Nothobranchius furzeri: one gene and its partner. The protein of the gene in region 1 purifies or fractionates together with the protein of each later gene. This does not show direct contact. Links are inferred from orthologs where the notes say so. Each region holds a gene or a part of one and is shown on either strand. Other genes may lie near its edges.

Region 1 (4,085 bases):
TTCTGAGCAACAAAAGTTTTTATTAAATAAAATTTTTCCTAAGAACTTACTTCTGCCTTATCATTTTCCAGCGTTCCAAGTGGTCACTTATTAGGGATTCTGACACAGGAGCATCACTTGACTGTGAAAAGAGTAACCTTATTCACCATTTTTATACATCTGAAGATTTGTACAATTCTATTTCTCTCTCTCACACACACACACACAAAACGAAGAGAAAAAAAATGTAACGTTCAAGCACCTTTGTAACGATGGGTTTTTCAATTTGTTGAATCCTGAGATTGATGGGTTCACCTGAAGGGCTAACTGGGCTGGGAGCAGGAGGGGGGAGTCGGTACACATTCTGACCTTTGCCGTTTATCATGTCTGTTACCTGGGGCAAGGATAGAACACAAATAACAGAGAGCTCAGGTATGATGGCTAAAGAGATGGTGCAATACTGCCATCTTTAGGGGACTTACTGGTAAAATCTCGACTCATTTCAAAATTCATAAATTTGTTTTAGGCAATGAAAAAACACACAGTTTGTAAGTTTCATTAATATATTACACTGCTTTTCAAACTCGATGCACTTAAAAACCATTAACTTTTCAAGGAAATTACACAAACATGCAGACTGACAATCACAAGTTAAATTTACAATTAAATAAAGTTCATAACTTGGTAAACAACAATTACAATAATAATAATAATTTAATTGTGAAGAGGGGTAGGAGACAAATATTATTTTCACACAAATTGTGTACAATGAAACTTATTTTAAACAATTAAATTAGAAGAAATATTTTGTAAACTATACACACTTTTTCTCTTATGGTTGTTTTGCTTTCATTTCCTTTAAACAAAATTAAATCAATTAAATAATGATGACAGGAATGTGCAGCCTTACTTCTTCCTCCAACATGCTGTGTGGGGAGTTTGGGGAAGCTGTTGGCTCTCGAACAGAAGGGTTGTTTCTCATCCAGGCACGGCAAATTGGATATAAAGGGGTGCTGGTGTTAAACTGAGCCAAATCAACACTGCGATCAAACAACTTAATAACATAAGCATCTAGAACAAAGGCAAAGGAAACACACATCAGGGTAAATAATACTACCGTGTCATTTAATGGAATGTGAGTTGAGTTTACTTTGTTTATGCGGATTGGTTTCTGGTATGCCCTCATCCATCTCCTTCCGTTTCTTCCTTCGATGCTGTGGAAATCTTGCTGAAGGTCTGAAAATAAAATGAAAACAAACATGAGGACTTGCAAAAAGGCTTAAAAAACTGAAATATTTTCTGTACTAAATAACTGAATTCATATAACGATGTGTGCAGATAAAAAATTATGCTGCAATAAAAAAAACAAGAAAATCAAGTATGTGTATGAGGTATTTAGAATTGTATGAGGTATTTGAATAGACTTTACTGATCCCACAGTGAGGAAATTTACTTGTTAGGGCAGCACATACACACAGACATAGGAAAATATAATACAGGTAAACACACAAGAGTATTGGGCTATTACCATAACCTTCAGCAACAAAATAAATGCATAAAAACAGAATAAAATAGAAAATTCATAACTGTTTTCAAGGAGAAAAAGCATAAAAGACACATATAAATGTGCATCTCTGGGTATTGCACATTTATTGCGCATTTACAGAACATAGTACTGATTATTACCTCTTTCCAGCAGAAGATGGAGACAAATCCCTAGAGATAACAAGAGCATTCCATGATTGCACTGAAACACTGTTACAGCTGTTTAAAAATAAAGTGTGAATCCTTCTTCATAATAAAAAGATAAAATCACAAAAAAACTAATCCATACTTGTGCAAGGAGTCCACTGATAATTTTCCTGGATCACCCTCATTTGGTTCTCTGATGAGAGTACAATTAAAAGCATTTAATCATTTGAAAGCATAGCTATGGTCAAGTGTGTTTTACTAACCTCTCATTTTCGCTCTTCTCTACAAGACCCTTTAACACAGCATCCAACTTGCTGCGTGCAGCGGTGTTCTCTGCATCTAGGTAACATAAAAAGCAGATCGATTTAGAGCTAGGTCTCTCGTTTTTGGGCTCTAATGTTATGTATATTGTATCTTTAAAGCAAGCACAAATAGCGAACGAAATTATAACCAATGTTATATTGTGGGTATATCTCACCTAGCCGTTCAGTCTTTATCTTGATGTGGTGCATTGTCTTCTTTTCAGCACTTTTGTAACCTTTTTTAATGTTGAAATTAATTCTTGTTTGATCTCTAACAAAGGGTCCTGGTATCCTGGCTGCAACGGCTGTTTGCCAACAGCACCATTAGCTGACTTACATAGCAGCGCTTAACCAACTGATTATTCGTAAAAGAAAAAGTGAAGAAATTCTATGGCAAAAATATTATTTTATCCTAATGATTTAGACAAAACAACTTTCAATAATTTGCTTCAAATAGTACAGACAACTGGTTTTATTATTCGAACTGTGGAAGGTATTAGCTCAGCTATAGTTGCTAATGTAACTTCAGCTTGCTTCTACAAACTTCCGCGTAACAGGTGTTACCCCGAAATGTGTTCCCTGGTTGAAAACCGTTCCCACTTGGTAGTGTTTTAGCCATCTCCCGGTAAAATGTGTACTTTTTTCCGAGATACATAATAAAAACACAAGGGATGTCTATTTTATGAATTAGTGAGTCAGTTTTATGAGTGGCGTAACCGCGAGCTTATGTCTCACCTAAACACAGAGTTTTTCCCCTCCTGCCCTGATGATTTGTTTGCCGTGCTGGAATGCACAAAAATAACATAATAGATTACTAAGATATTATCTGGCTATTTTCTTAAAATAACGTTGCTTTAAAGACCAGAGATTAAATATAAAAATGAGTGACGCAGGGAAAGAAAACACTTCCGGCGGGGAACACATCTTGATGTAACACCCGAATAGCTGATTGGTGCTTGTTCAAACCACTGTGATTGGACAAATGACATGTGCGCCATTTTAGCGAGGATTTTATTGGCTGAGTGGTGTGGCAAACACCAAAAAAGCGTGACGCTTTTGTGTTTTGTCACCCTTTTTATAGTTTTATAAACTTAGGAAATCTGAGTCTGTAGTAGATGCGGCTGCGTGTAGCTGTTTTAATTTCCTAACTTAAAGGTGATTTGTAGCGTTGGAGTCCATGGTAACTCACGACGCCTAGTGAGAACACTAGGGTTAAAACAAGGAAGAGAACATTTTCCGTTCTTCAATAGTTATGAAATCCAGGTAAGATCCAACAAGCTCCTTTTTATACCACCATAAACAATAGTTTTATCTCTAATGGTTGTTTTTATAGTGGATCTGTGTTTGCAAGGAAGAATCCCTTCACACCTGCATCCTCTGTGAGAAGAGCTCATCATCCATCCCGCAAGCAATCCCTGCCAAAGACAGATGTATGTCAGCTTTGCCAACATTTCTTACCTTTACTCATGTTTGTGTTTTTTAGTCCAGCATTTGGGACGTGATTTATTTTATTTTAGTATTATTATTATTATTATTATTATGCTCTTTGCAGAGTCCTGTGCATCCCAGCCAGAGCTCTAGGAAACAGTGTCACTCCCAGAATGGAGGAAGCCAACAGCTACAGGAGAGTCACGATGGTGGAGATGTTTTTACAGAAATCTGGCCCACCACTGACTACAGGTCCTCTCCTGAAATGCTGGCGTGCGATCTGCCTGCCAGACCAGAGACATCAACAGTTTCCTCAGGAGTTCAGGATGATTCCGTGATGGCAAAGTAAATCTGCTGGTGTTTTTTCACCGTAGAGATGATTGAATTTGTGGGCCTCACAAAGCCATGACGTGTTTTTGTTACAGACACATCGAGCGCTTTGGCCACAGTCAGCCTCAGAAACGGCAGCAGGTGGCTGGAGAAGAGCAGATGCCGTTTGGGTGGATGTTTAACTCATCAGTCCACAGTTCAACTCCTACTAAAGCATCAAACAGTGGTATTATTTTTAACTTCTGCTGTGTTTAGTCACACGACACAGTAAATATTACAAGCTCGTGGGTTGTGTAAAATTTCTGTGACAAACTTTCCGCTGGATCCTTTCCCATGCCCGAACGTGTCCTCCCT
Region 2 (3,096 bases), on another chromosome or scaffold:
CCATGTGGTTCTTTACATAAAGTCTACTGGCTTAAATAAGTTAAAGTTCTTCTTCTAAAAGTGGTTGAGAGCACCTTGATGCCAACGGTTTTGGTTAAACGTGACAGAAAATCCACCGCTCTAGTCATGCAGGAGAGAACAGTTTGTTGGGCCTGGTGTTGGTTTTCTAAATATCTGTCTGCATTAGAAATGCTGTTAATAAGCCTCGTGTGCAGGTAATACAAAAAATATATTCTCTATGTACAAGAGGACAGTGCATATGTCACCAGCTGACTCAGCGAAACTATTCAGCTCCTGACCGGACTGAAAAGAAGGATCTGTTTTTATTCCTGGGGGATGTCCGACACGATTTCAGAGAAGCAAACTCTCTCACACACACACACTCACTCACTCACTCACCCACCCACCCACCCACACACACATTCAGGCATATGGGAAAGCTGACACGCAAGCATAATTTTTTTTGTACACGAGAATCCAAAAATATAATTCCGACTCTTGTTTTTCCTTGGAAAAGTTGTAAGTAAAATGTTTTGTCCTCGTCTTTGTTTCTGCGCTCCCGTCTGAACTCGGCTGGAGCTCTTTTTGCCGATGCAGCCGAGTCCTCGGAGCACTTCCTGCCCCTCTTCTAGTCTTCGCTGTCGGAGAAAACAGGGCAGGAGGACTTGAGGAGAATGAGGACAGATAATCATATTTGGGTAACAGTTTTTGTTTAAATCAAAGGTCAAAGGTTGAGAATGGGCACATCAAAGAGGTCACAAAGACCTTCTGTCTCATCCAAATTGTAAATGTAGTCATGATCACTGGGAGGAGGGGACAGACGAAGGAGAGGCGAGAACACTGAGGGCGAAACACAAACAGGAATTACACAAAGACAGTTTGTTCGTGATGATGTTGCTGCTTTGTCTGTAATCATATTCACCTTCTGATGACATCAAGTCCTCCAGCAGGTCTCCACTCATGATTTCTTTCAGAAAAACAAAGTAAATCCATATTTACCAGCTGCTGCATCCCGTGAAATACTTTCTATTACATGTAGAGACGCGTGTGACTGAATTTACGGTTTAAGAAGGGCTGAAATGGTTTACCTTTAGTTGGATCAAACATGTCTGAAAGCTCTTTGGGAAAGTCCAACACTGAAGGGAAACATTTCAGTAAAACGGTTGCAAAAACACTTTTTACTAAACTTTTCTGAAATGTAATCTGCAAACAAAACAATCAAAACTTATTCTGAAATGTCCTTCACAGCTTTAGAAGAGCCCGACACTCACATTCAGATGGATCCGACTTCATTGGTTCAAACGCAGCAGAGACAGAGGACGACGCGGATCCGTCCAAAGAGGCGGATGACTGTAGCTGCTGAGGAGGAGCAGCAGGTGTGCGTGATGCGGGGCTGAGAGGAGTGGTGCTCGGCGCCTCTGAAACAAAACCAGAGACACAACGTTAATGTGAGAAACTCCAGAGGGAAGTGAAGAAGCAGCAGAAAATAATTCACTCGGTAAAAGGCCCGTTTCTGTATACAACCCCCCAAGGCGCTTCACAACACAATCAGTCATTCACACGTTCACACGCTGGTGGGGATGAGCTACGATGTAGCCACAGCTGCCCTGGGGCGCACTGACAGAGGCGAGGCTGCCGTACACACGTACCACCGGGCCCTCCGACCACCACCAGCAGGTAAGCTGGGTTAAGTGTCTTGCCCAAGGACTCAACAGCAGCATTCTCTGGTCGGAGCCGGGATCGAACCTGGAACCTTCCGATTTCTGGACAACCTGCTCACTCTACCTCCTGAGCTACTTGCTTAATCACTACATGTGCAGCAGTCTCTAGTAGGAACAAATGCCTTTCAAGTCGTACTCGGGGGAAACAAAGCTCAGATGCGCTTGTTTCAGGAACTAGCAGAATGCTACATCAAAGGAGAGCTTAACGCGACAGGAGTCTTACTTCCTGATATGTGGACATCTCGCCTCTGATTGGATAACAGCAACACGACTCTACCACTGACTCTGGCTGCTCTGCAACGTTGATGTTTTATCTCCACAAATAACACAAGCCTGAAGGAGTTCTGCTGTGTGGTGGAGTTGCTAATGCTAACGGTTAGCTTCTACTAGCTGAGGAGTTATCTGCCGTTTCCTGGACGCTAAACCAACAACAGCCTTCCCCGTCGTGAGTCCAGATGAGTGAATCCATGAATGTTAGTGACAGGGTGACGTAGATTTGTCAGGATTTTCTAATCCAAGAGCCGTGGTACTAAATTACGGACCTGGAGGGCCGGTATCAGCACGTCGTCCGTTTTAACTGTTTTAACAAACTGAATTCAATCAGCAGGAAACTAACAGGCTGCTGCACAGGTGGTTCAAACATGCTGGTTAGCAGCTCTCCAGGACCGGGACTGAGAACCACTGTCAGACGCTGATGCAGGACATAGGTGTAGGAGACTTTTTTCATGTTCAGCTTGCATGGAAAAACTCAGAGTGACTGATTATGAACAAAAATAATCATCAAAAACGTTTTTCAGTGAACTACACCTTTAAAACGTTCCCCACCTGTTGTCGTCTGGTTGGCTGCAGAAGCTGGTGTTAAGGCAGGAGCTGCTTTTGTGGCCGTGTCTGGAACTCCTTTGGGACCCTGGAGGGGAAAATGGAACAGAAGAAACGTCAGCATTGCACAAAACGCCAAATGTAACGAAGGAGACTATCGCTCACATTTAAATGGACACCTTACAGTAATCCTTTAGAATAAATTCTATGTTAAGAAATTTCTGTAATTCATGGTAAAGTAAAACAAATGGCCACACACTTGAAATTCAAAGCAGAAGGTTTTTTCCCATCTTAGCTGCTTTTACTGAATCAAAACTGTGGCCTTAACATTAATTAACTATTTTTTACCAAACTTGAGAAGTTTGAACGTTTGAAGAGAAAAACCTGACCGTTAAATACGTTTCCCATCAGTCTGCCGAGGACCTGTCTGAGCCTGGTTGGTTATAAACCGTCAGCCTGGGGGACGTAGGTTTATTATTGGCCTGAACGATTTTAGGAAAAGACTGAATTGCAATTTTTCTGGCAGAAACTGCGATTTCGGTTCAATTCACGATTT

What was found.
Region 2: the proteins of lin37 (region 1) and e2f4 purify together in Homo sapiens (co-immunoprecipitation; 4 studies listed by BioGRID and IntAct, with this or other methods). This does not show direct contact. The link is inferred for Nothobranchius furzeri from reciprocal best matches to the Homo sapiens genes LIN37 and E2F4.

Annotation. Positions count from the first base shown.
Region 1 is NC_091745.1:37,814,540-37,818,624, reverse strand, and holds the start of lin37 (protein lin-37 homolog), read right to left. Parts: upstream 2,837-4,085; 5' UTR 2,184-2,836; coding exon 2,150-2,183; intron 2,015-2,149; coding exon of another isoform or gene 2,011-2,014; coding exon 1,935-2,010; intron 1,865-1,934; coding exon 1,814-1,864; intron 1,696-1,813; coding exon 1,666-1,695; intron 1,216-1,665; coding exon 1,130-1,215; intron 1,051-1,129; coding exon 890-1,050; intron 374-889; coding exon 242-373; intron 122-241; coding exon 51-121; intron 1-50. Other genes in the region: proser3 (proline and serine-rich protein 3), read left to right, coding at 3,226-3,236, 3,307-3,403, 3,526-3,746, 3,827-3,957.
Region 2 is NC_091744.1:86,777,034-86,780,129, forward strand, and holds the end of e2f4 (transcription factor E2F4), read right to left. Parts: intron 2,629-3,096; coding exon 2,547-2,628; intron 1,419-2,546; coding exon 1,272-1,418; intron 1,137-1,271; coding exon 1,089-1,136; intron 968-1,088; coding exon 923-967; intron 841-922; coding exon 725-840; 3' UTR 510-724; downstream 1-509. UniProt on the Homo sapiens protein: Transcription activator that binds DNA cooperatively with DP proteins through the E2 recognition site, 5'-TTTC[CG]CGC-3' found in the promoter region of a number of genes whose products are involved in cell cycle regulation or in DNA replication.